Linked DNA regions of Pelodiscus sinensis. The protein of the gene in region 4 purifies or fractionates together with the protein of the main gene of each other region. This does not show direct contact. Links are inferred from orthologs where the notes say so. Each region holds a gene or a part of one and is shown on either strand. Other genes may lie near its edges. The genes, in order: CCT7, PPFIA3, PPP4R1 and PPP2CB.

Region 1 (7,350 bases), about 130 Mb from region 4:
TTGCATGGCCCAGTTTTAGGCACCTGGGGAGTAATTTACCGAGGTGCTTGAGGCCCCAGACCAAGTCAGTGGAGCTGCTGGTGCCTGGACTCTGGAGGTGTGTCAGGCTGGGTTCCCAAAATCTCTAGTCACTTTCCAAACACATTGCCCCTTACCCAATCCTTGCCTCAGTTTCCCCTCCAGTAGCACACGGGGCTGCCACTTGACCATGGCACAAGGGAGTCAGGAGGCACAGTTAATGCGGGTGAAGCACAGCAGACACTCTAGCAGGCCAATTCACTCTCTAAATTACTACAGGCACCACTTGACGCCTGTCAGTGGGGGGCGGGGTGTCTAGTGGGCAAAGCAGGGCAGTCGGGGGATGTGGGTTCTATTCCTGGGGCCACCACTGACTGGCTGAGCGTCCTTGGGCAAGTCACTTTCATCGCTCCATGCCTCAGTTTCCCAATCTGTACAGTCTGGGGCCTGTTTACTTACCTGCCTCTCATGGGCTCCCTGACACTGAAGTCCGGGATCCTTAGCGAGGCAGTTAATAATTACTACACTAAGCAGAGGAAGCGGGAAGGGAGAGTAGTAGGATAAATGACAAGGAAGGGCCTAATCCGGAGAGGTGCTGAGAACCCACAGGAGATGCTGGTGTCCAGCGCTGCTCCAGATGGAGCCCAAACCCTCTGCCCTGCTGAGAGCATTTTGACGTCTCGTAGCAGCACTTCCGCTAACCTCAGTGAACCGAGCAACCCCCCAGCCACAGCCAGAACATTAATTTGGGCAAGCAGCTAGGACCCATCACGAGACTCCTCCAGAGTGTGACATAAAACCAGGCTGCCTGCTTGGCCAGCCCTTTGGAACGCGCCTCCGAACTGAACACAGGTCATTTACCAAACCCAGCGGAGCAATCTCCCCTCTGGGATTTTCTCCTTTGCTTTCTCCATCTTTTAACCTGCCTCAGCTCCTCTTATTTACCTGCTGGCTGCCCCTGAATCCAGCTTTCCCTCCATCTTCCTTTCCTAATCGCTGTGCGAGTTTCAGGGCTGATTTACCGTGTTCTAATGGGCAACCACAGCGATCAAAATTGTCTCTCAAGCCGAGTGGCAATGCAAGATTCTCCCTTGCTGGGCCCCCTCCATGGAGGGATCTTATGCCAGGGCAAGAGGATGTTGCATTATATTTTGCTTTGGCTCGCTCACAGCTTTCAGAGCGCCGGCACAAGGCATTTATTAAGACTGGATCCTGTGCAGCGAGATTTTCCTGCTACATGGCCCCAGCCGGACTGCCACCCCTTCACGACTGAAAATGGGAACTTACAGACACACTAAAAACCAGACAGGTCTGGCAGGGCTTCCCGGCAGCCAACAGAGCAGAGCATGATGAGAATACAAAGAATAAACAGCAAGCACAAATTCCCCCCCAGCCGAGAAGCGCTCAAGGTTTTTTAACCCCTCCCCTGCATTTCAGGGCAGCAGTTTCTGAGCACAAGGGCCAGCGGCTGCCGCAGCAGGGCACTTGACTTTGGAAGAGGCAGCTGGATGTGCATTGTAAAGGCTTGCTTGTCAGTCCTGTGTTGCAAGCGTGCGCCAAGCAGAATGGAAAAGGCGCCCACACAATGCAGGCACCGGGGTACTCTCTAGCCTCTCCTTCTCCCCGGGTGGCCCGTACTCACCATCAGCAAAAGGGCAGGCGCAGAGACAGAGCACAAAATGCAGCCAGCTGCCAGCGCTGAAGAGCATGTCTGTGCACCAGCCTCTCCGTGGCTCCCCAAGGCACCTCTAGCCACAGAAGTCTCAAAGTGGCCACAAAGCAAAGCCCCGCCTCTGGCTTCCACTCACTGGTCAGCTCCAGCGGCTGCCAATCCCATTGGTGAAGGTTTCAATCAATCCAGTGCCGGCTGGTTACAAGAGGCTTGAAACACCGAGGGGTTCCTAGTAGAGAGGAAGAAAAAAATAAATAAAATAAAATAAATCCGAGCCGGTTCAGCCCTTCAGCAGATTTTTCAGAAGTAAAATCACTGGAAGCAAATCCGTCCTTTTCCACCCACTCGTACTCCACGGAAAGGGCAGGGACACACGACTGGGGGGCAGGAGGTGGGGTTTTATTCTGGGCTCTGCTATAGATGTGTGACCTTGGCCAAGTCATTGCACAGTGTGCCTCAGTTTCCCCCTCTATACATCTGCCCAAGAGGGGACCCTGAGCTTCACCCATTAATGTTTACTGATGGGGAGGAGGGGTTTTGCTTCAAAGGGGTAGCCTTGCTCCCAACATTCAAAAAGCTGCGCAGGCATCTGCAGGACTAGGGCCTACCTGTAGATGCAGTGAGTGAAAGCAACAAACAAGGAGGAGGGAAGGGAGGGCAAAGGTTACAGGAATAAGCGCCTGGATGCTGGTTTTGGTTTTTACAATGGTTGCTTTTAATGTGGGGGTTGCTATGGCTTCTTTTGCTGTTGCTCAAGCCTGCTCTACTCCCCCTCAGCCCTGCCTACCACTGGCATTTCTGCACAGTATCTCACTAGCTTCACAGCTACAGCAGCCGCCCCAGCCCCTCCTCACGGCCTCAATCCCCCTCCCCCAATTAGTTTTGCTGTATGGACATTTTGTTGCGCATCTTTAAACCCTGCCAATCTCATCCTAGACAGCACCGGTGCTGCTATACGGGTGTGAGCCCCTCCTGATTACACGCTACACTGATATACTGCGGGCATGCCACTGACATGGCTTGATGCTGTGCAAGTGTCTCTAATGCAAGGGGGACGAGGCACTTCGTCCCGGACTTTCCCCCCCATCAGACCCTCTGCCCCGTTTCCCTGCCTCCCACTGTGCTCCAAGTGCCTGGGGATAGCGTTGCCAGATGGGTCCAACAAAAATACCGGACGCACTTGACATTCCATCCCAATCGACATTCCATCCGATTTAGAAAATACCGGACGGTTCTATTTTCTCCATTGGTTTCCAGAACAGAAAGCTCCAAAACTGGACTGTCGGGTGCAAAACTGGACACCTGGCAATACTAGCTGGTGAACCCAACTATCTGCTCCTCATCCAACCTCCCCTTCATGAGCCCCCATCAGTACCCAGCTGCCTGCCAGACTGTGAGCCCCACCTGCCCTCCCCCACCTGGCAGCGAGCCCCCACCTGCACGCCCTACCTGCCAGATAGTGAGCCCCCACCTGCGCTCCCCCACCTGCCAGATAGTGAGCCCCCACCTGCGCTCCCCCACCTGCCAGATAGTGAGCCCCCACCTGCCAGACTGTGAGCCCCCACCTGCGCTCCCCCACCTGCCAGAGAGTGAGCCCCCACCTGCGCTCCCCCACCTGCCAGAGAGTGAGCCCCCACCTGCGCTCCCCCACCTGCCAGATAGTGAGCCCCCACCTACCCTCCCCCACCTGCCAGAGAGTGAGCCCCCACCTACACGCCCCACCTGCCAGACTGTGAGCCCCCACCTGCCTTCCCCCACCTGGCAGTGAGCCCCCACCTGCGCTCCCCCACCTGGCAGTGAGCCCCCACCTGCGCTCCCCCACCTGCCAGATAGTGAGCCCCACCTGCACTCCCCCCACCTGCCAGATAGTGAGCCCCACCTGAGCTCCCCCACCTGCCAGATAGTGAGCCCCCACCTGCGCTCCCCCACCTGCCAGAGAGTGAGCCCCACCTGAGCTCCCCCACCTGCCAGATAGTGAGCCCCCACCTGCGCTCCCCCACCTGCCAGAGAGTGAGCCCCACCTGAGCTCCCCCACCTGCCAGATAGTGAGCCCCACCTGAGCTCCCCCACCTGCCAGATAGTGAGCCCCCACCTGCGCTCCCCCACCTGCCAGAGAGTGAGCCCCCACCTACCCTCCCCCACCTGCCAGAAAGTGAGCCCCCACCTGCACACCCCCACCTGCCAGATAGTGAGCCCCCACCTGCGCTCCCCCACCTGCCAGATAGTGAGCCCCCACCTGCACACCCCCCACCTGGCAGTGAACCCCCACCTGCGCTCCCCCACCTGGCAGATAGTGAGCCCCACCTGCGCTCCCCCACCTGCCAGATAGTGAGCCCCCACCTGCGCTCCCCCACCTGCCAGATAGTGAGCCCCCACCTGCACACCCCCACCTGGCAGTGAGCCCCACCTGAGCTCCCCCACCTGCCAGATAGTGAGCCCCCACCTGCACTCCCCCCACCTGCCAGAGAGTGAGTCCCACCTGAGCTCCCCCACCTGCCAGACAGTGAGCCCTATACTGTCTGCTTGCCAAATAATGAGCCAAGTCAGTACTCCTCTTGCCAGATATTGAGCTGACCCCACCCCTCCGCACCTCTATGGTCAGAGGCGGGAAGGAAGGGACGCCGGCGGGCTCCCAACCATCGAGTGGGCGCGGGGAGAAGCCGCTCGCTTCCGTTTCCCGTTGGAACTCCGCCCCCGCCCCTCGCGAAGTTTCTGCGCGGACGCAGTGCATTGTGGGAGCGGCCACCCCCTGTGCTGGAGGCGCTCCACCGGACCTTCCGCCAAGATGATGGTGAGTGGGGCCGGCGCGGCCCGCGCCATCCGCCGCCATCCGCCCCGGGGACGGGCCCTCCCGGCCCGACAGCGGCTCCCCGCCCCCAGCGGGCTCTAGCCGGCCGGCATCAGCCGTTATTTTTGGGGGGGGCGGGCTGGAGCCGGAGCCGCGGCCCCCAGCGCAGCCCGGCGGCAGGAAGGGCGCGGGGCGCTGCGGCCTGCCCCGAGGGCAGCCCATTGAGCGGGGTGGGAGGCCTGGGGAGCTCGGGCCGGCCTGGCTAGCGGTGGGACATCAGTGGCCTCGCAGGGACTACCAGCCCCATCAAGTAACGCGCGAAAACTTGCCCCTGAGTTGGGGTTCCAGGTGGCGCATTGCATGCTGGGGGTTGTAGTCCCTGTAGGACAGAGCAGCGGGGGGAGTGAAGGAAGCCTCTTCTGCTGACTATAGTAACCGTTAACCTGCCCTTAGGGCTCCCCAAACCATTGCGTGCTGGGATCGGACGCCCTGCCTCTCCCCGAAACAGCCGCAGGGGCCCAGCATTGCCCACGGAGGCTGCTGTGGTCAGGACGTAGCATTGCATGTTGGGGGCCACCGTCCCTGTGGTCTCCACGGTTCTGTTTGGGTGATGCTAATGGCTCGTTTTGATTCTGGCACCTGCTGTCCCCAAATTGTTCAGAGGAAAGGGGCAGCGTTGCCTGATGCAGTGTTGCCAGACTTGTCATCTCGGTGGTGGGCACGTCCCCGGGCTAAGCTAAAGGCAGGCCTCAGAATGTGCAGGGATGCTTACAAAAGGATGCTTATGTTGCAGAGAACGTGGTTTTCTTCAAAGGCAGGATAATTTGGATTTTCTATATAAACTTCCATTTAGGCTTGTTCTGACAGAGGTAAAAGAGCCTTGTTTCTGTTTCACAACATGTCCTTGAAGTCTGAGGGCCTGTATTTAACTTTCATGCCCCACCCTTGGCCCTCTTGCCCAATGAGTCTCCAAAGGCAATGTCGGAATTGTTTGAATCCTAGCGATCTTGCCGTAAAACTGTTTATTGCCAATGGGTCAACCTCCCACTTCACTGTCAGTGTAAAAAGATCATGCTTGCATTCGGTGAAGTGCTAAGTGTTGGCCTAGCTTCCCCTTCAAGCAATGCCATCTTGCTCTGATTTTTTCAAAGACAGTGAGAGGTGAAAATGGGTTTCTGCACAAATAAAGGTTCACTGGCATGGGATCATCCTAGAACATTGTGAGGAGGCATTGGCTGGCTGTTACCATGGCCTTTTAGAATCCCTAAGTCATTCTCTTACAAGCATAAGAATGACCATGCAGGATCACACCAGTGGTCCATCTAGTCCAGTATCTTTTCCCTGGCAGTGTCCAGTGCAGATGCCTCAGGGAGAATGAATGAAACAGGGCAATTTTGAGTAATCCCAACCCATGTCCATTCCAAGTTTTCTGGTGGGTTGGAGGCTTGGGGACACCTCGAGCAGCGGCTCTCAACTAGGAGTACGCGTATTCTTGGGGTAGGGATATTAATGCACCCCTGTGCGTTTTTGTTATTTCCTAATTTTCATGTTTACCACAGACCTTGTTATCTGCATTTTGGGTACCACCCTCAGTGGGTACAGCTGTGCTGCTGGCAGCAGCATTGTAAGGGTAGACAGGTCTCGGTTGTTCATACCGTAGTGTCATGTAAAGCTGTTAAGAGATTTTTCATGACACAGTGGTAGAAATGCCTTTGATCTGTCCACTCTGTCAACTTAGCATTTGGCAGCAGCATTTTTAATAGCTGTTGGAGTAGTATGGATACTATATATCTAGTACAGAGACAGTCCAGTGTGGAAGTTGGAAGGTAGAGGTTGGACTTCCCTTGTCCGGCACCCTAATTTGCCAGACCAGGGGAGGTCCCCTACCACTGGCTCCCCAGCCTGCTGCTCCTCAGTGTTCCTAGTTCTGCTACCAGGCCCCCTGCCTCCAGCCCCCCCATCTGCTACTATGCTGCCCTGCACTGCCAGGGGCTTTGGCCTTGCATTGCCTCAGGCTGCCAAGGAATCCCAGCCTGGCGCTATCCTGGGCTGCAGCGGGCTACCAGGCTGGCCTCTTCCCAGCGCTGCTGCGGGCTGCCCCCAATTAAGGCTCAGCTCAGTAATGTAAAAGTTAAAATAATGAAAACAAACACAGGTTTTTGAGTGTATAACTGCGAGCGTTAGAAACTCAAGATACTCAAGGTGAAGATTAAAATGAAAAGAAAATCTTCAAAGAGCTGGATCTTTTGATGCCTAAGACCTTATTTCACAAAGTCTAGTTGTGAGAATAAAGTTTGTAGGCTCCGGCCCCTGCAGCGTAAGATCTTCTGGGTTGAAGTTTTTTGTAAGTCATTAGGCTTTAATAGACTTTGGCTTCAGCGTCAGATATGGAATAGCAAACAGTGACACTCTAATAAGGTGAACTGATTTCCTTCATTGTTCCCCTCAGGAAAAATGACATTGAATAATACTAATAAGCTGAGCTAAGGAGGTTAAAATATTGGTACACAGTTATTTTTAGGGTGACTATTTGGCTTATTAAAGTCTGAGGGAAGCATTAGCTAGCATCTCTTGTCTTTTCAGCCCACACCAGTTATCTTGTTGAAGGAAGGCACGGATTCCTCCCAAGGGATCCCTCAGCTTGTAAGTAACATCAATGCCTGCCAGATTATCGCAGAAGCTGTTCGCACCACCCTGGGCCCTCGGGGCATGGACAAACTTATTGTTGATGACAGAGGTAAGTATAAGATAACATGACTTCCCAGAGCTGCCTTTTAGCGCTTCAGTGTTACCAAGCACAAGGCAGTGGCTTTTGGCTGACTTATCAACCTCCCTGCATAATGCATAGTATAGGTGTGGGATACAAGGTTCC
Region 2 (7,954 bases), on a different chromosome or scaffold from region 4:
CACACAACGCAACACAGCGCCCCAGTGCAACCCCGCCACACACACAACACACCATCCCAGTGCAACCCCGCAACACACACAACGCAACACAGTGCCCCAGTACAACCCCGCAACACACACAACACAACACAGCGCCCCAGTACAACCCCGCCACACACACAACACAACACACCATCCCAGTGCAACCCCGCCACACACACAACACAACACAGCGCCCCAGTGCAACCCCGCCACACATACAACACACCATCCCAGTACAACCCCGCCACACACACAACGCACCACAGCGCCCCAGTGCAACCGGGCAACACACGTTACAACATAAACACCACATTCTACAGGGACAATGTAACAGCCACCCACAGTGCAACCCCGCAACACACACAACAAACACAACACACCACAGCGCCTCAGTGCAACTCTGCGACACACACAACACACCATCCCAGTGCAACCGTGCGACACACGTGCCACAACATACACATAATGCAACATGCTACAGACAATGCAACACCTGCACATAAAGCACTAGTGTGAGAATGCAACACACACAGCAATACGTGCTACTAATACAATGCAATACACAAAATGTATGCCACAGCATGCCATCTACCCATAATGCAACAGTGAGACAACACCACACACATATGCACAGCAACATACACTACCAACACAATGCTACACACAGCCATGATGCAACAACCCACACCTGCAATACAATAACACAACACACACACGCTACAGTTTACAGCACACTGCACTAGCAATACCCGTTGCAACACCCACCCATAATGCAACACGCCCAGTGCTACACACAACACAATGCTGCCGACAACGCAACACCTACCCACAATGCAACAAGTACAAGGTGCAAAGACCCTGCAACACCCAGGCAAAGAGCAATACCCCAACACACACACACACACACACACACACACACACACACACACACACACAGCCCCCTCCTCTTCGCAGGGCCTGTGCCTGCAGACACCTCCCTCGTCTGGGTTATTTATAGACAGCGACGAGACTGGTGCCCCTCACCCCCATGCCCAGACACACTCAGATGGTACCTGTGCACAGACACACGCCAACACACGCCCCAACACGCTGACCCCCTACTCTCCCTTCCCCCATGGCCCCCACCTGGGGACACAGAGCCGGATGCCCCCAGGGGTTCAGCCACACTCCCAGCCCCAGTGGAGGGTGCCCCGGCACACGCGTGTACGGTTACATGCCTGTCCCACGCCTGCCTGGCTCACATGGGGCAGCCAGGGCAAGGGGGCACCGGCGACATCCGTGCATGGCAGGGCCGAAGGGGGCTGCATGGGCAGCGTTACATGCGTGTCTCCATGCCCCCCCCCCCCAGGCTGGACCTTGCAGCCCTGTTTGGCATCCGCTGGGAAGGGATCAGGAGGTTTGTGCCCCCACAAACTTTGGGGTCACCCCCCCCACATACTCCTGCGGAGCTGAGGCCCTCCCTGAGGGTGGATCCGTGGAGGGGGGCAGCTCTGACCCAGAGGAGTGAAGAATCCAAGTGGGGGGGGGCCTCTCCCCACCCCACCCCCAAGGAACACAATGCAGTTGGGGGAAGGGTGGAGGAGCTGTCCAGCCCCCTTGAAGCATCCCCCCCCCCGCAGAATCAGCTGGGATCGTCCCCCCCCCCCCCCACAAGGTCCAGCTGCCTTGCCCCCTCCCTGTAGATTTCTCCTGCAATGGGACAGAGGGTCCCCCAGAGAGCCAGCCCCCCATCCATGGAGGGAGACACAGGGCCCCCGGGGGCAGTATGGGGGGCAGACAGAGGCTGGAGGGGGTCAGAGAAGGCAGCGGGAGGGGGGTGCACACAGGAGGATGGCTGCGTTGGGGGGCAGGGCGCTAGGGAGCGGGGCTGGGGAAAGTGGGGGGGGGCCGGGCAAGGGGGGAGGGCAGGGGCCGGGCAGGGGCTGGGGGCGGGGGCGGGGGACGGCCCGGCTCCTACCTGCAGCGCCGCGAGTCTGATGCTGCGGAGGCCAGTGGGGGAGGGGGGCAGGGAGCTGTCCCGGCTCCTACCGGCAGCAGCCGAGGGGTGCATGGGGGGGGGGGGGAAGCAGGTGCACGTCGGGGGATGGGGGCCGATGTGCGCTGGGGGAGGGGACAGGCCATGGGGGGCGCAGGGCTGAGCTCCGGAGGACGCAGCGGGATGGGGTGCATCTGCAGGCTGGGGGGGGCAGGCATGGGAGATGAGGGGAGCGGTGGAGATGCATGGCCAGGGTGGTTCAAGGGGGGGGTGCGTGGCTGGGAGAGGGGAGAAGGGCCGGGGGTGCAGATCGAGGGGTGTATACAGGGGGGAGAGGCTTGACTTGCACCGTGGGGGGTGCCCGACTGGGGGGATGGGAGGAGATGAAGTGGGGCGGTGGAGGGAGATGGCTGGGCTTGGGGGGGTTCATGCGGGGGAGGGGTGCAGATGCAGGCAGGGGATGGAGGGGGGGTGCAGGGCTGAGGGTGCATTGGGGAGGGGTGCAGATGCAGGCAGGGGATGGAGGAGGAGGGGTGCAGGGCTGGGGGGTGCATTGGGGAGGGGTGCAGATGCAGGCAGGGGATGGGGGGGTGCAGGGCTGAGGGTGCATTGGGGAGGGGTGCAGATGCAGGCAGGGGATGGAGGGGGGTGCAGGGCTGAGGGTGCATTGGGGATGGGTGCAGGGCTGGGGGGTGCATTGGGGAGGGGTGCAGATGCAGGCAGGGGATGGAGGGGGGGGTGCAGGGCTGAGGGTGCATTGGGGAGGGGTGCAGATGCAGGCAGGGGATGGAGGGGGAGGGGTGCAGGACTGGGAGGGTGCATTGGGGGAGGAGGTGGAGATGCAGGGCAGGGATGGAGGGGGGGAGGGCAGGGACGTACCTGCGGCGGCCGGTGCCGATGCTGCGGAGCCGGCGGACGCCCGGGGGTCGCGCCCCTCCCCCGCCCCGCGCTGCCGGAGCCCGGCCGGACGCGGCTCCCGGCCCCTCCGCGCCGCCCCCCGCCCCGCCTCTCCGGCGCCGGCCCCTTTAAGGGAACCCTGAAGGACGGGCCGCCTCGCCAATGGGCGGCCGCCAGAGCCCGGGGCGGCCGCAAAGTCCCTCCCAGGCGCGGGGGTGGGAGGGGGCGGCTCCGAGCGCCGGGGTCCGGCGGCCAATGGCTGAGGGGCTGCCGGGCGGGGGAGCCAATGAGGGAGTCCGGGAGGCGGGGCTCACTTTTAGGATGATGTCATCCGGTGTGCGGCGGGCGGGAGGGGGGCATAGGGGCAAATCACACGCCGGGGAATTGCCCCAACCCCGCCCCCTGGGGAAATGCATCCCCCCCGGGAATTATCCCAGCCCCCCCCTCCAGGAAATGCATCCCCCCGGGAATTATCCCAGCCCCCCCTCCAGGAAATGCATCCCCCCGGGAATTATCCCCCCCCCGAATTGCTCCAGTCCCCTGCTCTGGGAAACCTCCCCCCCCCAGGGAATTGTCCCAGCAAACTTGGGGCAGGCTGCCTAGGGGGTGCAAAGATTGGGGGATGGTTCTAGGGTGGAGGCAGGTAGCACCAGCCTGTCCAACCCACCCGGGGGGGGGGGGGAGGGCTTGCCCCACATTGCACTTCCTGCCCCCGAGCCAGCATCCCTGGAAACACCGCTGTGTGGGTACCAGCCTGGCCCCGCAGGGTCAGGTCCCCGGGGGGTTGGGTTTCTCTCCGCCCCACGGTGGGGGACCAGGGAGGGAGGGCCCCCCAGCTCCATGCCCTCTCCTTGCTAACTCCATGAACCCCAGAAACCTCCCCCTGCCTAGGACCACCTGGCTGTGGCCCTCACCCCCCCAGCCCTGAGTTGGCTCCTGTGTGGCCCAGGGCAGGGCTGTCAGCCCACCGGAGGCAGCTCCCCCAGGGTCCGGGGAGCAAGCTAGGGAACAACCTCCTGGTCTGGGAAAAACGGCCACCTCATTAGCTACCTGATTCTACACTGGGGCCGAGGATGGCGTTAGCCCTGCCGCAGGCAGACGGACAGAGCCTGGAGCAAACATCCCTTCCCCACACAGCGGGAGCGGCTGCCCCACAGCCAGAGCCAGAAGTGAAATCACCTCTCCACTCGCCCCAGCGAGTCCCCCTTTGCCCCCTGGGGGTCATGCTCCGCGAGCAGGGACTGCGGCCACCCCGGGATCGAGGCACAAAGGACACAGACATGCACACCCCAGACTCAGTCGCATCGTTTTATTCACAGTCAGGCAGCCCCCCCTTCTTCCAGCAGAGGCGGGAGCCGCAGCAAAGGGCACGAACGTTTGTGACTGGAAGAGGGACAGACAGCAGGGACTGAGAGCGGGAGGCACCCGTTGGCTCCCCTTCCCTCCCAGAGCCAAGAGAGAACCCAGGAGTCCTGGCTCCCAGCACCCCCCTGCTCTAACCACTAGCCTCCACTCCCCTCCCAGAGCCAAGAGAGAACCCAGGAGTCCTGGCTCCCAGCACCCCCCCCTGCTCTAACCACTAGCCTCCACTCCCCTCCCAGAGCCAAGAGAGAACCCAGGAGTCCTGGCTCTCAGCACCCCCCCTGCTCTAACCACTAGCCTCCACTCCCCTCCCAGAGCCAAGAGAGAACCCAGGAGTCCTGGCTCTCAGCACCCCCCCCTGCTCTAACCACTAGCCTCCACTCCCCTCCCAGAGCCAAGAGAGAACCCAGGAGTCCTGGCTCCCAGCCGCACCCTCTGACTCCCTCCCTGGGAATCTCACCCTTGTAGTTCCCTGGCAGACTCAGCAGCCAAACCAGAAAAACAGACTTGAGGGGGGTGACTCACTGAGGGAGGGGCGCATCCCTGATTCCCAAGCTCCATTTCCCACCCCCAGCTCACCTGGGGAGCAGGCAGGGAGCTCAGCCCCACCTGCCCTGGAAGGGGCAGGAGAAGGGAGCTATGGGGGATGTCAGGGACCAGAAATGATGCTGCAGGTTGGGAGTGAGGGGCACCAGCAGGGCTGGGGGGACAGAGCTTGGGGGGGGCAGGGGCTTCTGGCAGGAGTGAGGGGCACCAGCAGAGCTGGAGGCAGGAGCTAGGGGCACCGGCAGGGGTGGGGGGCCGGGGCCGAGCTGCTGGCCGGAGAGAGGGGCACTAACACCCTACACAGGACATACCCCAGTGATCCCCCACCCCCCCAAGCAGCGAGTTCGCCACCTGGTGGCCACTCACTGAACTGCACCATAAACACATACTGGATCAGGGCCCTTCTGGGGTGGGGTGCAGGGACAGGGCAGACGCGGACCCCTCGCCCAGCACCGGGACACGGCCCCTCTGGGCTGGGCACACGGGGACCCCTCGCTTGGCACTGGGATGGGTCGAGGGGCAAAGACACACAAGAATTTGGGACAGGAAGTGAAGGCGAATCCCGTACAGTGGGTGGTTTGGGGGCAGTGCATTTCTCCGGGATTCCCCCCCCTTCCCTGCCTTCAGCAGAGCCCTCCCCCCCCCCCCGACCACCAGAGTCTCGGGTGCCGGATTCCCACCGGCTCACGCACAAGGGGCAGTTTTAAATAGGGGAATAAATAAATACGGTTCACGGCAGGGCCGGTGTGGTCCCGATAAATAGACCCAGCTCCACAGAAAAACTGGGGGGAGATGTGGGAGGCCGGGCGGGGGCCCAGCCTCCCCAGCACGGGACCTGACAGGGGTTATCCCCGCGACTCCAGAGACCTGGGGAGAGAACAGAGGGAGACATGAGTCGCAGCAGAAACCGGGGGGAGCAGCGAGATTTTGGGGTGCTGGTACCGGGAGATTTGGGAGGCCCTTAGGTGTAGCAGGGTGCTGGCGCCAGTGGCGGGGAATGTGGGGGGGGGCTCTTACGAGTAGCTGTGGTGCTGCTGGCGCCAGTGGGGGGGTTGGGGAGGATGTGAGGAGGAATCGGGGCGGTTGGGGAGCTTGGGGGGAAGCTTCCCTCACAAATAGCTGCGGTGCCACTGGTGATGTAGGGGGATTTGGAGGGTTTGGGGGGCTCTTATGAGTAGCTGTGGGTACTGCTGGCCCCTGCAGGGGGTGAGGGGGGGCTCGGGGGGCCCTTACGAGTAGCTATGGTGCTGCTGGCGCCGGCGGGCCGTGCGCATCTTCTCGAAGCGGGCCTCCATCTCCTCCAGCACCTTGGGCGTGTAGCGCACGACCAGCTTCACGGTGCCCTGCGCCGCCTTCAGCAGCTCCACCGCCTTCTCGTGCTGCTCCCCCTCCACGCTCTGCACCGCCGGACAGACGGACACGTGGCAGGGTCAGAGGGGACGGACGCTCCCGCCGCGGATGCCCTCCCCCGCTCGCTGCCTCAGTTTCCCTGCGCCCTCAGTCCAGCCGCCCCCGAGCTCCCCCGCTCACCACGCCGTTGACAGACAGCAGCTGGTCGCCCCGCTTGAGGCCTCCGTGCCGGTCGGCCACGCCGCCAGGGATGACGCGGGAGATGTAGATGGGTGAGTTCTGTTCCTTGCCGCCCATGATGTTGAACCCGAGCCCCTCGTCCGTCTTGGGCAGCTCCACCACCCGGGGGTGGGCGTGGCCCTCGCTTGCCGCGAACGCCGCCACCGTGGCCTGCGGGCAGAGACCCAGGGTGCTGGGGGGGGGGGGCAGGCGGAGGGACCCTACGCCCCGCACCTCTGCCCCAGTCCCTAAGGTTAGGCCCAGGCCTCAGGGGCAGCTCGGATCCCTGGGGGGCAGGACCTAGGCCCAGATCCCAGGAGCCAGAGGGTCTCCGGTGGGGAGGGAGTCGGGATTCCCAGGGGGTTACTTAGGTTCCGATTTCACAGGGTCCCAAAACCCAGGAGGCAGGATTCCTGGGGGGAGGGGGTTACCTCGGCCCACATCTTGGGGTGTCCAGGACAATACCTTGGGCCAGATATCGGGGGCAGAGGGTCCCCAGGGCACACCTAGGCCCAGATCTCAGGGGGCAGAAGTACCTTGGCCGTGGCATGGGCCCGGATCTCGGCGCTGCCCGCGATCTCCAGCGTGTCATAGAGCTGCTCATAAACCTGGTGGTGGAGACGAGGAGGAGGGGCTGTCAGGGCGAGGGCTGGGGATCCCAGAAGTCCGGACAGTGACCATCGAATGCCAGGGGAAGGGAGATGGGGGGGGGGGCTGGGCCAGGGCACGGGGGCTGCAGTGGACTCAGTGTGGAGACGGGGTTCCCCTAGGGGGCCAAGCAGGAGACGAAGCCCCTGGGGGTGCAAAATGGGGTGTGGTGAGGGGATTCCCGGGGTACAGGTCGCGTGTGGGGGTGGAACCCCCTGGAGGTGAAGGGAGAGGGGGCCGGGCAGGAGCCTCTGCAGGGACACGGTGCTGGGGACAGAGTAGGGGTTCAGGCAGCTGCAGCGACTGTGCCGGGGGGGGGGGGGGGGGGGAGACGCAGCATGGGGTTGGGGTGCAGGGGGGCTGAGGCAGGTGCAGGGAATGCACAATGCACAGGTGGGATGCACAGGGGAATGGGGGGGCTGCCAGGGCACTTGGGGGGGGCTGCACAGGGCAATGGGGGGGCTGCACAGGGCAATGGGGGGGTCTCACCTCGCGGATGGCCAAGCAGAACTTGCTCTGCAGAACTCGCTGCAGGGTCTGCAGCTTGTGGGGGGGCAGCTCCCCGCTTCGCTGCAACCGCTCCAGCAGCTCCACCGCACGCGCCACGTCTGCACGGTTTGGGGGGGGCGTCACAGGGGGGCAGAGACCCCCCCCAAAACTAACTGCCTGCCCCCCCGCGTCTCCCTGAGCCCCCCCAGCCACTGCTGCCCCAGCACCCCCCGCACCTGCCCCAGGCATCTCCGAGCCCCCGCCTGCCCTAGCGCCCTCCCCCCCGGCGCACGGGTCCTGCCCCCCCCGCCCCGTGCACCTGCCCGCGGCCCCTTACCCCGCTCCAGCCCCAGCGGCTCGCTGCTCAGCGCTGCCATCTTCACGCACCGGCCCCGCCCCACGTTGCACCGGCGAGGGGGGGGGGAAGAGTCTCGGACTCACACCCGG
Region 3 (7,366 bases), on a different chromosome or scaffold from region 4:
GATGTTAAATTGCATTTAATCAGCTAATCGAATAGTTGATGGAATTTACATCAACTACTCAATTAATCAATAAGGGGGGAAACTGCTGAGCCACAGCAGGATTAGCTCCCAGTCCCAAAAACTAACCTCACTGCAGCTCTGCCTTTTAAATGTACTAAGAGCCGCCAGCTGATTTCCAGCTCCCCTTCCCTCCCCACCCCCTGCTACCAGTCCCCCACCCTGCCTCTACGACCCCTGCCCCCTTGCAGAGACGGTACCGGGGAGGGGGAGAACCATTTTTTAAGCCAGCTCCTGCTCTCCCTCTCGGCTGCCTTTCTCTGATATAGGCAGCAAGGGGTTGGGGGAGCCACTAGGCAAGTCACTACTCAACTACCCAATAAGCATACCCTTATAGGGCAGTTGACTAGTCACTTATGTCCCTAGTTTCATCCAGTTTCTTGGTTATTCTCTAACACTGATCCATTGATCTCTACATCAGAACCTCCCTCTTGCTCAGTAAGATCTTGAATATTTTTATTAATTGTCTGAATCTTCCTTCAGAATTCTAAGACAGCTCTTGTCTGATCTTTGAGTCTTCTTTTTAAAGTCAAATCTATAATTTTTTATCTATCTTTGAAAGTATCAGAGAAAAGATTTAAAATGTGTGGCGTAGTTAAGTATATAAATATTCTTCTCTAGCTACCTCTTAAGAGACCTACAATGTCTTATTTAATCTTTGTCCTTTGCAATCAAGAAGGTTGCATTTTTTTTAAAGGGAAAAGAAAATAGCTTAAAACATTTATTAACTATTCACAAGAATATCCCACATTGATTGATATTCCTTTTATACTATCCGAAATCTAGTATTTTAAACTTAATAGTTTGTAATAATTGTTAAGCATTACAAGAGAGACTCTCTCTTGAAAAGTAGTTTAAAATGAAAGAAAAGAAACCAGAACAAAATGCTTAAATGTTGTTACACAAATACTCTACAGCGATTGTAAAACTGCAATTCTACATGAAAGATGAAAAAAAAAACAGAAAAATTTCTACTAACATTTCCATTTCTTAAAAGCTTATTTCCAACCATCTAGGAACCCAATCCTGAAAGCTGATTCTTGTGGGCAGACTCCTGTGACAGTATGGACTCTAAGTCCATGGGTCTCTGCAAAGGGCCATGGGTTTGCCAACAAAGGTTACAGGATTAAAGCCTAAATCTGAAGGATTCTTTTATCCCCACCTTGGAGTTAGCTTGGTTTTAATACTCCCAGCTCTACACTTTAACCAGAGAGTTTTCTAATAGTCATGTACATACTATTTTACTGTTGGTTACGTTTTACATTCCATAACTCACATGTGCAAAAGTCACAGCTGTTCTCATAGCCTTCAAGTCACTGCATTTATTGTTGTTTTAAACAAAAAGGAGCATACAATCCATTATTAATGCTAAATTGCACACTGAGGCTTCTTTTATAGAACTATAACACAAGATTAATTCTCTCTCAGATACTATTATCTTTACCAACACTACCATGGAGGAAAAAGATTTAAGAAAGAAATACATGCAAGTCAGCTCATTTTCCATGTCTCTGGTGCAATGTCACCACCACAAGAAAGTAACACTGCCCTTTGTGTATCTCCTAGGCCCTTTAAAGAGCTTCAGTTTCTACACAGCATCAGTCCTGAAAAATTCTATTCCCACAGCTACCGACCATCACATAAAAGTACCCTAAAACTTTATGCATTGAACACAAAAGCCTAAGAAGCTTAAAAATTTAGCCATCCAATTTGTGGCATATCCAACCAGCAGCTGCAGACATAGCATGACAAACAACCACGCGGCCTTAAAACAAGTGCAACACACAACCTGCCTGCAAATATTGTCCTAAGATAACGCGCCTTTGAGTTTAAAGCGCAACAGGCCAAGAAAGCTCAGGCAGCAGCAGCAGCAACTGTCTCTCCCCACAAGTCATCAGCCCAGCTCCCGCTTGTCCCCGTTCCCCCTTTTCGCCGCCTCCACGCAGACGTGGGCACAGGAAAAGTTTGCCGAGCCCCCCCCCCACACACACACACACACACACACGTGTGGGGAAGGAGCAGCTGAGCATGGCCGCCGCCTCCGCCTCCTCCCACAATGCAACGTGGGCTTTCGCCAATTTCCTCACGGGATCGAGCCCAAGAAGACACCACCCCGCAAAAAAAAAAAGCCCCGCCAACCCCAGCCGGCCCGCCCGCGGGCGCGATGCCACCCGCCCCTGCCCACCGAGGCAGACACCCGCCTCCTTCCCCTCTGCTGCACCCCGGCTTCGGACAAGGCCCCGACACGCCCGGAGCTTCCGGCTGCGGCCAGGGTGATGGCACCGCCCCTGGGCTCGCCACCCCTCAGCCCAGCCCCAGTGGGGGGACCGGCGGCGGCGGCGGCAGCGCTACTCACACGCGTCGAGCTCCTCCGACAGGTCCTCCTGCAGCAGCGACAGATCTAGGGAGAGACACAATGAGCCGCGCCCGCAGCCTCGCCGCGCCCCCGGCCCCTTCCCCGCGCAGGGGCGGGGGCCCGCGCGTCGCCCCACAGCCGCCCCCCCCTCCCCACACGCACGGGGGCCGCGCCCGCAGCAGGGCGCGGGCGGAACAGGGGGCGCTGCCCCGGCCCATGCACAGCTGGGGGAGGGGGGCGCGGGAAGGCGGTTGGTACCTACCCGCCATCTTGCCGACGCCGCCCCCCCCCCCCCCCAAGTGTTGAGGGGAAGCCCCGTGCGGTGCGGGCCCGCTGGCGGCGTCTCCGGTGTCCCCGAGAGAGACTGGCAGGCAGGCGGCGAGCGAGGGAGGGGTCTGAGCCGGACACGCCGCTCCCGCCTCCGCCGGGGAGTCGCACGAGAGCGGCCCTCCCCGCCCCTCGCTCGCTGGCGCTGACTCACTTCGCGGAGCCGCCTCCAGGGCAGCGGCCGGGGCCCGCCCGGCCCTACAGGGGGCAGCCGGGGCGCGGTCCCCGTCCCTGCCCGCTTGGCCTGGCTCCGCGCTCCTTCCCCGCCTGGGCCGGGCACTGCGCCCCGTGCCTCCCCTCTTCCCCCTGCATGCTCGGCCTGGCTGTGTGCCCCTTTCTCCTGCACACTTCCCCCCACAGACACGCACGCTGCACCCTGACGTTTCTTCTCTCTCACCCTGCACACTGGGCCCTGGCACTGTCTTTCCCCCTCCGTGCCTGCTGGGCCTTGGCACATCCTAACCCCATGCACTGGGCCCTGGCACTTTACCTCCTTCCCCTCCCCACATGCACCCTGCACTTCCTCACACCCTGAAAACTGGGCCCTTGGTACTGCCCTCTCAGCCCCACATGCTGGGCCCTGGCATTTCCTTCTCCCAACCCCCCTGCTGCAGCCTGGCTCTTCACCTACTTTCTTCAACCTTTACCCTTGGCTTGCAGCTGCACCTCTTTCCCACAACCCCGTGTGCTCTGTGTCCTCTGCTCCAGCCCCAGACATTAGGCCCTGGTGCAGTGCCCCCTCTCCTGAATCCTGCATGAATCCGGCTTTATCACTGCACTCCCCCCTCAACCCCCACCAAAGCACACTTGGCACTGTATTATTTGGCTCTGACATGAATTTCCCCTAAATTGGCACTGCAGTGTCACTCCCTCTCCACATACTTGGCATTGACGTCTTTTCCACTTGCTTGGCATTGTTACTGCCTCTTTCACCTTCCATGTACATTTGGCACTGGTTTTATTTCTCTGTTGTTTGGCTTTGATACCACTGCCCAGTGGCACTGGCACCACTCCTGTCTTACTTGGCACTCTCTGCTTATACAGAAGCCCCCTCCCTATCAATCTAAACATTTTTCTGGACCTTCACTGTGTCTGCCAATGTCATAATGGTAAAAAAAGGATAATCTAAACTAAGCTCCATATTCCCCAAATGAGCTATGGGTAAACAGAATGCACCTTCATCTACACTACGGCTGCGTCTAGATTGGCATGATTTTCCGGAAATGCTTTTAACGGAAAAGTTTTCTATTAAAAGCATTTTCGGAACAGAGCATCTACATTGGCATGGATGTTTTTCCGCAAAAGCAATTTTTGCAGAAAAGCGTCCGTGCCAATCTAGATGCGCTTTTGCGCAAAAAAGCCCCGATCGCCATTTTAGCCATCAGGGCTTTTTTGCGGAAAACAAATCTGAACTGTCTACACTGGCCCTTTTGCGCAAAAGTTTTGCGCAAAAGGGACTTTTGCCTGAACGGGAGCAGCATAGTATTTCCGCAAGAAGCACTGATTTCTTACAGTAGGAAGTCAGTGCTTTTGCGGAAATTCAAGCGGCCAGTCTAAACAGCTGGCAAGTTTTTCCGGAAAAGCGGTGTATTTTCCAGAAAAACTGGCCAGTCTAGACACAGCCTACTTGTGCCTGCCAAGTGTTGTTTGAAATGAGGAAATCAAAAGTGAATGCTCTAAGCAGAGGTTGCACCATTAGTTTTTAGAATACCAAAGGATGCCCTAGAGGCTGACACAAAAATGCCAGAATTGGGCTCTGTGATGTCATTCCACAAAGAAGCATCTTCCAGAAGTGTGTCAGTGCAGCAAAGAGAGGTTTTGCCGAATCATTCATTCATTCTTTAATCAATGATCTATAGTATTTGGTACACTTTGAGATCATCAATGCTCTTACACTTGGGATCATAGTTAAGGCATCCCAATGTCTTCACTAGGAAATAGATATCTTGTCATTGCAGAAGAGAAACCTCCAATTTAAAAATCTTGTGAAACACTCCATAGGAGTGCTATTTATTGCTATTGTTAGTTTTTCATGAAAAAATACATTTTAAAGTTAAACAAAAGCAATAATTCTTCATTAGTCTGTAACCATTGAGTATAAAGTATGGTTCAGTCCACTAGGATGTAAAATCCCATTTAATTGATTAACCGGTTAACTGTAGTGTTAAACACTACAGTTGACCAAGTAAGGGGGGGGGGGGGGCTGGAGCTTTCCCCTCCCAGCTGCAAGCTACCTGCCCTCCTCCACATTATTTTTAGACCAGTTGTCCAAACAAGGGACCTTTGACAAGATCCCACACCAAGGCTCTTATGCAAAGTAAGCAGTCAAGGAACATCTCATGAATCAGTGAGAGCACCACTAACCAGGCCATTGACTGTATGGTTGGTGGCACTGTGCAGCAGGGTTGGCAGGATCCCTACTGGCTTCTGCACCGTGCAGCTCCTGGAGAGCAGCTGGCATGTCCCATCTCCAGCTCTTATGCCTCAGGGCAGCCAAAGGACTCTGCATGCTGTCTCTGCCCCAACCACCGCCCTCGCAGCTCCCATTGGCCAGGAACCATGGCCAATGGGAGCTGTAGGAGTGGCACTTATGGACAGGTCAGCAAACACTGCAGAGCCACTTGGCAGCACCTTCCACATAGGAGCTGGAGGAGGGACATGTCACTGCTTCCAGGAGCTGTTTGAGGTAAGTTCTGCCTGGAGCCTTCACTCCTGATCCCCAGCCCTCTGCCCCAGCCATAGCCCTGATCCCCCTCTCAGTTGCATATCTTAAGTTGAAATATCTTATTTCAGCTTTTGGCGCTGTCTTCACAGCAGGAAATCCGAGGTAGAGCACTATTTCTCGGACTTCTGTTACTCCTTGTACAATAAGGGTTACAGGAGTCAGAGTAAGAAGTCCTCCAGCTCAACATTATTTCGACATTCTATCAAAATAACTGCTTGTAGTGGAGATACAGACTTTGTTATTTTGGAATAGCTTATTCCAAAATAACGCTGCTGTGTAGATATAGTCATATTGATCTGTCTTTACTTGCAAACACCAGAAAATGCAAGCTCTTAGAAATAGCTAAATTTGAGTCTGGTCTCTAACTTGGGCAGCAAGTATCATGGGCAGGGGAAGGTGCAGCCTTCCCAAATTGCCTCACCTGGCATTGCCCTTGTTCCACTGTACTTTCCCAGGCTCCCTTCCCCAGCCTGCTCTTGAGGTGGCAGAGGCTAGGGAAGGCATGCTGGGGGCTGTACCACACCACCTGTCCTTCAAGCACTGGGACTGGTGGCTTGACCGGAGGTAGGGGGCCTTTCTGTAGGAGTCCATTAGGCACTGCCTCTGGAGCTCTGGGGCCTCATTATCCTCGGCTGGGGGTCAGTGGCCCAACTGAAGGTGGGGTACTAGACTTAGGCAAGCAGTGGCCACACTGGGGGTGGGCCTTGTGCAAAAGGAGTGGGGCTGAGGGATTTACCCACTACTCATGGTCTCTGAGAAACTAAATCTCAGGAAATCTATAAAACCCTAAAACAAAGGCTCTGAATGGAAAGACTCAAATGGAAGACTTCTAGTATATTTCACACATGATGAAAATACATATATGGTACCTGCAATTATAATATGGATTAAATACATAAAATCCCAGAACAATAATAAGAGATTAGGTGAATACTGTAAAGTACTCTATCGATCTATTCATAACTACAAAAATTAACAAATCAAATAATATTTAATTAACATCAACTTCAGTGTTTTCCCAAATCAAGATATGTTTTGCTGGGATATGGAATCAATCTATTCAATATTGTGGCAGCTATAAAGCATTAGGCATAGGGAAAACTTGGGGCCCAAATGGCTTCCACATGAAAGGACTACTCGGTAAATTTGCAAGACATCTCTCTTTCACTGTTGAGATGTCGACTCCAACCTCTGATTGACGAGTTAAATGTAACCATTTGTTAAATTTTCAGACAAGCATTTTGGTGCTTTTTCTCATGGTGTCCTTCACCGAAAATGATTACAAAGCTACCTTATTATCCTTCTTCAAAATGTGAAGAGTTAGACAACTAGCGTGCTGAGAGTTCTTTCTATCATTCTGACAAATACTGTTTCGTTGTTTCTTGTACTCCCCCATCTGTTTGTCTCCATCTATTGTCTCTTAGCTTATATTGCAATGTCTTTGGGGCAGAGACAATCATTTAGTTGTACAGCATCTAGCACAAGGAGGTCCTGGTGTATTATTATTATTATTTATTTAAAGTATAGGTGGACTATTGCACCTATTTTGAGCCCCAATGGGATGCTAAATTTAATAGATCATCGGTCTATTTTGGTATGGCAATTCCTATACCCCTATATTGATAACCTACATGGAGATTTTTAGCTGAAAGGTTTATTTTAATGTTGCTGAAGACTGTGTTAAATGTACAAGAGAGGTTTTCAGTGTTGGGAATTTACAGGGATAAAAAATATAACCAGGGCTTCACATGGGCACAGCAGTCTACCCATGCAATGCCAATGCAGGATTGATCCCTGGGAGGGGAGGGAGAGGAGAATTAAAATTCTGTCTCTAACTGCTCATAGTGAGATGGGACCACCATTTTCTATGTGTAGTGATACTCCTTGCTTTATATTATACA
Region 4 (6,882 bases):
CTGTGCCAATGACAGTTCTATATTTAATATGTTAGCTGTTCTCCTTAGCAAGTCTTAGATGAATGCTCTGAAGTAATCGCACAGGGACACTGGATTGTAGTATCTGGTTCGTCTGGTAAGGCGAGGAGCAAGTAGACCAGTTGCAGTTCTGGATTATCAATGCAGTCATCGTGGGGAACCTCAACATTTTCCTCCATCTTCTGCATTTCAAGACCTCTAGCCTGTTTTGACTTGACTGGAAAACAAACCTATGAGGGGAGTTGTCTCTGGAAGGCTGGGAAGGGAGAATCCACATTCTCCAGTACAATCAATATATTTCAGAAACATACAGCTAAGGAAGTGTGGAGACCCAGGAAGAGGAGTTGGGGTGGAAAGGAGATTGTGTGTTTCTGAGTTACTCATTTATTTTTAGAGCTTTTATTTTATTTTAGTGGGGGATCCCCAATGTGGATCCAATCCCCATCACCACAGACACAATACTGAATTTGTCTAGAGAAGGTTGAGAGGGTATGGGTTCGCCACACAACTTTGGCTCTGAGAAAGCAGGAGAAGGAAGAGAAGTATATTGGATCAAAAAGAGTGCCAGGTTATCTGGCTAATACTGACACAATGCTACAGCATCAAGGGACTCCAACCTGGATGTCACTAGATTAGAACATGCTCTTCTGCTACCAACATCAATGCTGATTCCTATGCTAATATCGACGCTACAGACACCAGCTCAAGGTTCTAACACGTCTCAGAGACTGCAGCCAAAGCTGTCCAATCTGAAGAGAACCAATACACTGAACAACAACTGGGGAAGTGGATTTCCCCCCAGACAGAACACACATCAGATTTGTCTGGCACTACACCATCACGTTAGCAGGGTTTGAAGCCTGAGGCTTTTGATATCTCTTGAGTGAAAGGTACCTTGGCACTGATTGGTTAGTAATGACCTAAAAAGGAAAAAAAAGAATGCCACAGCTGGGCAGATATGCTAAAATATTAACTTATCTAAACTTACTAAGAAACTGGGTTAAGAACTAGAGGAAAATTTTAATTTGCTTTCTGAAATCAAGGAGCGCAAGGGGCAGAACAGATACCACTGAGTTTCCACTTACTGCCTTGGGTAAGGGGATCTCACAGAACTGGGTTATTGGGCAATAAAATAGCAGATGAAATTCAGTATTGATAAATGCAAAGTAATGCACATAAGAAAACAACCACAATAATATATATAAGATGAAAGGGTGTAAATGAGCTGTTACCAGCCATGGTTGGTTTCCAATTCCTGCTGAGGGTCTGATGTGCTTTAATCGGCTACAAGTAATTTAATAGTCTATATAATTTTAAATTTGACTGTGGCTAAACTAAGAAACAACATAATTTAAATTATTTAAAGACAAGGCTCACTGTAATTTAGCTGCCAAAACTTTACATACTGGGTGGAAAAGACTGAAATAGATCAACACCATTAACTGGAGATACAGAAATAGCATGAAGTGCTTCTAAACGCTAAGTATCTTTTTATAAATTATGTACTTATAACAAAATACTTATAACAAATTCTTCCTTTAGCCTTACATCACATTTTTCTTTGCAGGGATGTCTTTATGTATGAAAAATACAGTGCAGTATCTCCAAATTTACAGCATTATGTGTACAGAATGGATTTTCAGAAAATTTCTAAGTTTAAATTCAAATTAAGTAAAACTGAGTCCTTTTAAGACATTTACCACTGGTCAATCTTTGAGTAATCAAAATAATGCAGTAAGAGACTGCAAATGCTCTGTATAAAAAAGTAAAGTGTTCACAGGCTAAAAGAATACAAAAACAGCCATACTGGGTCAGACTAAACCTCCATCTAGCCCAGTATTCTGTCTTCTAACAGTGGCTAATGCCACAGAGGGAATGAACGGAATAGGCAATTATCAAGTGATCAATCCTGTTGCCTATGCCGATCTTCTGTCAAATGAGTTTGGGACACCATCTCTGCCCAGCTTGGCTAACAGCCACTGATGGCCCTATCCTGCATGAATCTGTTCTATTTTAGAAGCAGTTGAATTTAATTAAGCTAATTGTTAACAATGTTACCTATTTGCTATGATTATGTAGGCTATTTATCCAGGCAACATGCCAGATCAATCTTAAACAGGGCTACAGTGATGCAAGAGGTAACTCAACCAACCAAACCACAACCCATCCTTTAGCTAGTTGACATGCAATACTACTACTGGCTATCACAACTCAATAACAGAAGGGAGATTGGACATCTGATTGGAATGGGGTAAATTATTGAGCCCAACTAGCTTTCCTTTTCCGTGGGCCGCCTGCTTGCCCAGATGTCGGTGCCTAACGGGTTTCGTGTAACACTGCTGCCTTGGCCCTCCTATGCAATGAAACACAAACACAGGGACGCTGGGATTCAGAGACTGGGCTCTCCCCCTGCTTCTATTTTTCCCCCAAGCCCTGTGAGAAACCATTTTTGTGCTGTGCGGATGTGCACCACCACGAGAAACACACTGCTGGCTGTGGGGGCTCCGCTGGTCAGCTGGGGCAGGCAGCTCTTGCCTCTCTGGGGCAGGGGAGCGCCCAAGCGCTCAGCGTACAGGGAAGGCAAGTCAGGGCCTCCCCTGCCCTTCACTCTGCCCGGCGGCGAAAGGAGCCAGCACGGATCTATCTCCTCTGCAGCAGCCCCGCGCGCTGCTGGGCCCGCTGTCCTGCGGGGCGGCGCGGGCACGGGGCCCCTGGCGCGGGCGGGTGAGGCCCCGCTAGGCCCGGCGCGGACTCACCTTCTCGCAGAGGCTGCGCACCTGGCTCTCGCTCAGCTGCTTGCACTCGTTGAGCTGCTCGATCCACTGGTCCAGCTCCTTGGAGAAGCCCTTCTCCTCCATGGCGCGAGGGGGCCGCCAACGGCCACGGGCCAACGGGGGCTGCTGGGTGCGCGCGGCCCGCTCCGCTCCCGGCCCGGCCCTGCCCCGCGCCGCGGAATGGCGATGGCGGCCCCGCCCGCTCGCCCCGCCACTTCCGGCCGCGGCCGCCGCCCCGCGGGAGCGCTTCCGCCTCCTCCCCCCCCCCCGCACCCGCTCTCAGCCTCCGCGCGCCACGGTCAGACCCCCCCCGCTCACCCCTCCCCCCGTCACACAGACCCCTCCCCACCCCCCGCCACAGAGACCCACCCTGCTCCCAGCCTCCGCGCGCCACGGTCAGACCCCCCCCGCTCACCCCTCCCCCCGTCACACAGACCCCTCCCCACCCCCCGCCACAGAGACCCACCCTGCTCCCAGCCTCCGCGCGCCACGGTCAGACCCCCCCCCGCTCACCCCTCCCCCCGTCACACAGACCCCTCCCCACACCCTGCCACAGAGACCCACCCTGCTCCCAGCCTCCGCGCGCCACGGTCAGACCCCCCCCCCGCTCACCCCCCTCCCCCTCACACAGACCCCTCCCCACACCCTGCCACCCCCCGCCACAGAGACCCACCCCGCTCCCCCCCCGCACCCACTGCCACCCCCCGCCACAGAGACCCACCCCGCTCCCCCCCCGCACCCACTGCCACCCCCCCGCACCCACTGCCACCCCCCCGCCACAGAGACCCACCCCGCTCCCCCCCGCACCCACTGCCACCCCCCCGCCACACAGACCCACCCCGCTCCCCCCCACACCCACTGCCACCCCCCCCGCCACACAGACCCACCCCGCTCCCCCCCCACACCCACTGCCACCCCCCCACACCCACTGCCACCCTCCCGCCACACAGACCCACCCCGCTCCCCCCCACACCCACTACCACCCCCCGCTCCAGAGACCCACCCCGCTCCCCCCCACACCCACTACCACCCCCCCGCTACAGACAGACCCCCCGCCACACAGACCCCCCCGCTCCTCCCCACACCCACTGCCACCCCCCCGCCCTGCTCACCCCCTGCCAACAGACCCCCCCTCTCTCCCCCACACCCACTGCCAGCCCCCGTCCCACTCACCCACAACCAGCCTGCCCAGACCCCCCCGCCACACAGACCCCCCCCCGCTCCTCACACCCACTGCCACCCCCCGCCCTGCTCATCCCCTCGCTACACACAGACCCACTCCCCTGCCCTGCTCACCCCCCCTTGCCACACAGACCCCCCCCACACCCACTGCCACCCCCCCGCCAACAGACCCTCCCCTCTCCCCTCCACACCCACTGCCAGCCCCCCTGTCCCACTCACCCACGACCAGCCTGCCCAGAGCCCCCCCGCCCTGCTCACCCTCCCGCCACAGAGACCCACCCTGCTCACCCCCCACACCCATTGCCAGCCCCCCTGCCCCACTCCCCACAACCAGCCTGCCCAAAACTCCCAGCCCTGCTCTTCCCCCCTGCCACAGAGGCTCTCCCCCCCACATTGTTTGGATGTAGTAAAATACTTGGCTGCTTTTCTGGAAAAAGCGGCCAGTCTAGATTCAGCCCTAGAGCCACACCCAGATCCCCTATTGCCCCATGCCCAGACACTCCCCACAGCACCGCTCGGACCCTCCTTGCACCTCACAGAGCCACTCCCTGTCCCCACCGCTCAGACCCTTCAGCCCCGCTCAGCCCCCCAGCGTCTCTCAGGCCCCTCACACCTCGCAGAGGCAAGTCCAGACTCCCCAGTATTGCTCAGACTAAGGATGTAAAATCCCATTTAATCAGTTAACCGATTAAATATTGGCTATGTCTACAACTGGCATGATTTTCTGGAAATGCTTTTAACGGAAAAGTTTTCCGTTAAAAGCATTTTTGGAAAAGCGCGTCTAGATTGGCAGGACGCTTTTCCGCAAAAGCACTTTTTGCAGAAAAGCGTCCGTGGCCAATCTAGACGGCTGTGTCTACATTGGCACCCCTTTCCGGAAAAGGGATGCTAATGTAGACTTCGGAATTGCAAATTCCGCGGGGGATTTAAATACTTGAAAGTAGGAATAAGAGATCCTCCGGAAAAGGGCTTATTTTCCGGAGAATCAGGTCTAGACTGGCGCTTTTCTCCGGCTTATCCCCAAGTCGGAAAAAAGCGGCAGCCATGTAAATGCAAATACTGCGGGGGATATTTAAATCCCCAGCGGGATATTTAAATCCCCCGCGGAATTTGCAATTCTGAAGTCTACATTACCATCCCTTTTCTGGAAAGGGGTGCCAATGTAGACACAGCCCACGTGCTTTTCCGCAAAAAAGCCCTGATCACCATTTTCATGATCGGGGCTTTTTTGCGGAAAACAGTACTGCGCTGTTTACACTGGCCCTCTTGCGCAAAAGATTTGCGCAAGAGGGCTTTTGCCCGAACGGGAGCTGCACAGTATTTCCGCAAGAACACTGACGATCTTACATGAGATTGTCAGTGTTCTTGCGGAAATTCAAGTGGCCAGTGTAGATAGCTGGCAAGTTTTTCCGCAAAAGCAGATGATGCTTACTGCTTAACCGCTGACATCCCTAGCTCAGACCCTACATTCCGAGCCCCCCTCACACTTCTCAGAGCCATGTCCAACCTCCCTCCTGCACTGCCCTAGAGAAACTCCCAGACCTCCTATTCAGAACCACTTAGAGCCCCATTCACCCCTTCCAGAGTACCAGGGATCACCCTATTTCCCTACAGGGAAAATGGGATACCCCACAGGGCAGCTTGAGGCTCCCCACAACTGCTCTACACACGTTATCCCCCCCTCCCCTGTCTTCCATGTGTGGGTCTGGCACAGCCTGAGCCTCCCTCCAGCTCAGGGCTGGCATTGCCATTTGCCTTCCCTCCCTGTGCACCCCGCTAGCAGTTGCACTCCACTTTTTTTTGTCAAAACTGGGCATTTGCTAATAGGTGACACAGGGTTACCCTACCCACACCAACTCAGTGCCACTTGTAATGCCTCCTGCCCAGCAACATCACTTCCAGACACACGCATCCCATGGCACCACACAGAGCCTCTTGCACCATCCCAGTCATTTCCAGACACTCCAACTTCAGTGTCACACTGAGTCCTACTCACGCCCCCTATAGCCACTCCCAGACACCCCAGTCCCACCCCAGAATCACTCCAAGTCCTGTGACTGGCTGTAATTCCATTTCCACACACACCTCAGCACTGCCCCGAGCTACTTCCAGGTCCCCACCTGGCTATCATACACACAGAACTAGAGGTGGGGAGTGCTGCAGCATCCCCAAGTTTTACATGGGGCCCTGGCTGCTGGCCGTACACCTGAAGCTCCATGGCCCTACTCATAGGCTCAGAATTCTCCTCCTGGGATGCTGGCCACTGATCTTGTGCCTGGGGTGCTGTAACATTTGCTTTTTGAAAAATCTACTTGGAGGGTGGAGGGTCGAAAAAGGAAACTTTTGTTTCTGTTCTCACACAGCCTCTAGCATGCAAAATCTTTCCCAGCTGAATGTTATGAGTGTTTCAGCTATTCGTTCATGAATTCCATTATAGGGCAACACCAGCAAATTCCCAGTCGAGTCCCCAGAAATGTGCATCTTAGTCTTTCCTGTTGTGCAATGCAAGTTCATAGAAAGTACATCATTTCAACAATAGAAAGTCATCATGCACAAATGTGGTTATCCCAAATGGGACTCCCAAACACTTTAATACAAACACAATCATTTCCATAAATCAAGTTTATTAGCTACAGAAAAAATTTAAGTGTTTGCAAATAATGAGGCACAAAAGTCAGAATTGGTAACAAAGAAAATAAAAGGCAAAATGCAAATTTAATACCTAACAGGAAGCTAAATCAATTGAAAGTAAAGGCTTTTCTCACGTTTTTTTTTTGCAGTCTTTAGTGGATGAAAGCCTTCGAGCCAGAACCACTCCCCCCAGTCCAGTGTTTCTTCAGGAGTTACTACTATTGTGAGCAGAGAAGAATGAAGGTGAGATGATTTGGGGCCACTATTCCTCATTTTT

What was found.
Region 1: the proteins of PPP2CB (region 4) and CCT7 purify together in Homo sapiens (affinity purification with mass spectrometry; 4 studies listed by BioGRID and IntAct, with this or other methods). This does not show direct contact. The link is inferred for Pelodiscus sinensis from reciprocal best matches to the Homo sapiens genes PPP2CB and CCT7.
Region 2: the proteins of PPP2CB (region 4) and PPFIA3 purify together in Homo sapiens (affinity purification with mass spectrometry; 3 studies listed by BioGRID and IntAct, with this or other methods). This does not show direct contact. The link is inferred for Pelodiscus sinensis from reciprocal best matches to the Homo sapiens genes PPP2CB and PPFIA3.
Region 3: the proteins of PPP2CB (region 4) and PPP4R1 purify together in Homo sapiens (affinity purification with mass spectrometry; 3 studies listed by BioGRID and IntAct, counting the BioPlex papers as one, with this or other methods). This does not show direct contact. The link is inferred for Pelodiscus sinensis from reciprocal best matches to the Homo sapiens genes PPP2CB and PPP4R1.

The regions. Positions count from the first base shown.
Region 1 is NC_134715.1:131,026,810-131,034,159, reverse strand, and holds the start of CCT7 (T-complex protein 1 subunit eta), read left to right. Parts: upstream 1-4,343; 5' UTR 4,344-4,475; coding exon 4,476-4,481; intron 4,482-7,061; coding exon 7,062-7,215; intron 7,216-7,350. Other genes in the region: PRADC1 (protease-associated domain-containing protein 1), read right to left, coding at 1,661-1,727. UniProt on the Homo sapiens protein: Component of the chaperonin-containing T-complex (TRiC), a molecular chaperone complex that assists the folding of actin, tubulin and other proteins upon ATP hydrolysis.
Region 2 is NW_027465870.1:75,050-83,003, reverse strand, and holds the start of PPFIA3 (liprin-alpha-3), read right to left. Parts: upstream 3,015-7,954; 5' UTR 2,876-3,014; intron 1-2,875. Other genes in the region: LIN7B (protein lin-7 homolog B), read right to left, coding at 5,647-5,668, 6,035-6,198, 6,332-6,541, 6,907-6,978, 7,508-7,756. UniProt on the Homo sapiens protein: May regulate the disassembly of focal adhesions. May localize receptor-like tyrosine phosphatases type 2A at specific sites on the plasma membrane, possibly regulating their interaction with the extracellular environment and their association with substrates.
Region 3 is NC_134712.1:85,386,002-85,393,367, forward strand, and holds the start of PPP4R1 (serine/threonine-protein phosphatase 4 regulatory subunit 1), read right to left. Parts: upstream 3,015-7,366; 5' UTR 2,683-3,014; coding exon 2,676-2,682; intron 2,459-2,675; coding exon 2,414-2,458; intron 2,103-2,413; exon of another isoform or gene 2,088-2,102; coding exon of another isoform or gene 2,063-2,087; intron 1,900-2,062; exon of another isoform or gene 1,879-1,899; intron 1,871-1,878; exon of another isoform or gene 1,851-1,870; intron 1-1,850. UniProt on the Homo sapiens protein: Regulatory subunit of serine/threonine-protein phosphatase 4. May play a role in regulation of cell division in renal glomeruli. The PPP4C-PPP4R1 PP4 complex may play a role in dephosphorylation and regulation of HDAC3.
Region 4 is NC_134715.1:4,850,025-4,856,906, forward strand, and holds the start of PPP2CB (serine/threonine-protein phosphatase 2A catalytic subunit beta isoform), read right to left. Parts: upstream 3,007-6,882; 5' UTR 2,877-3,006; coding exon 2,775-2,876; intron 1-2,774.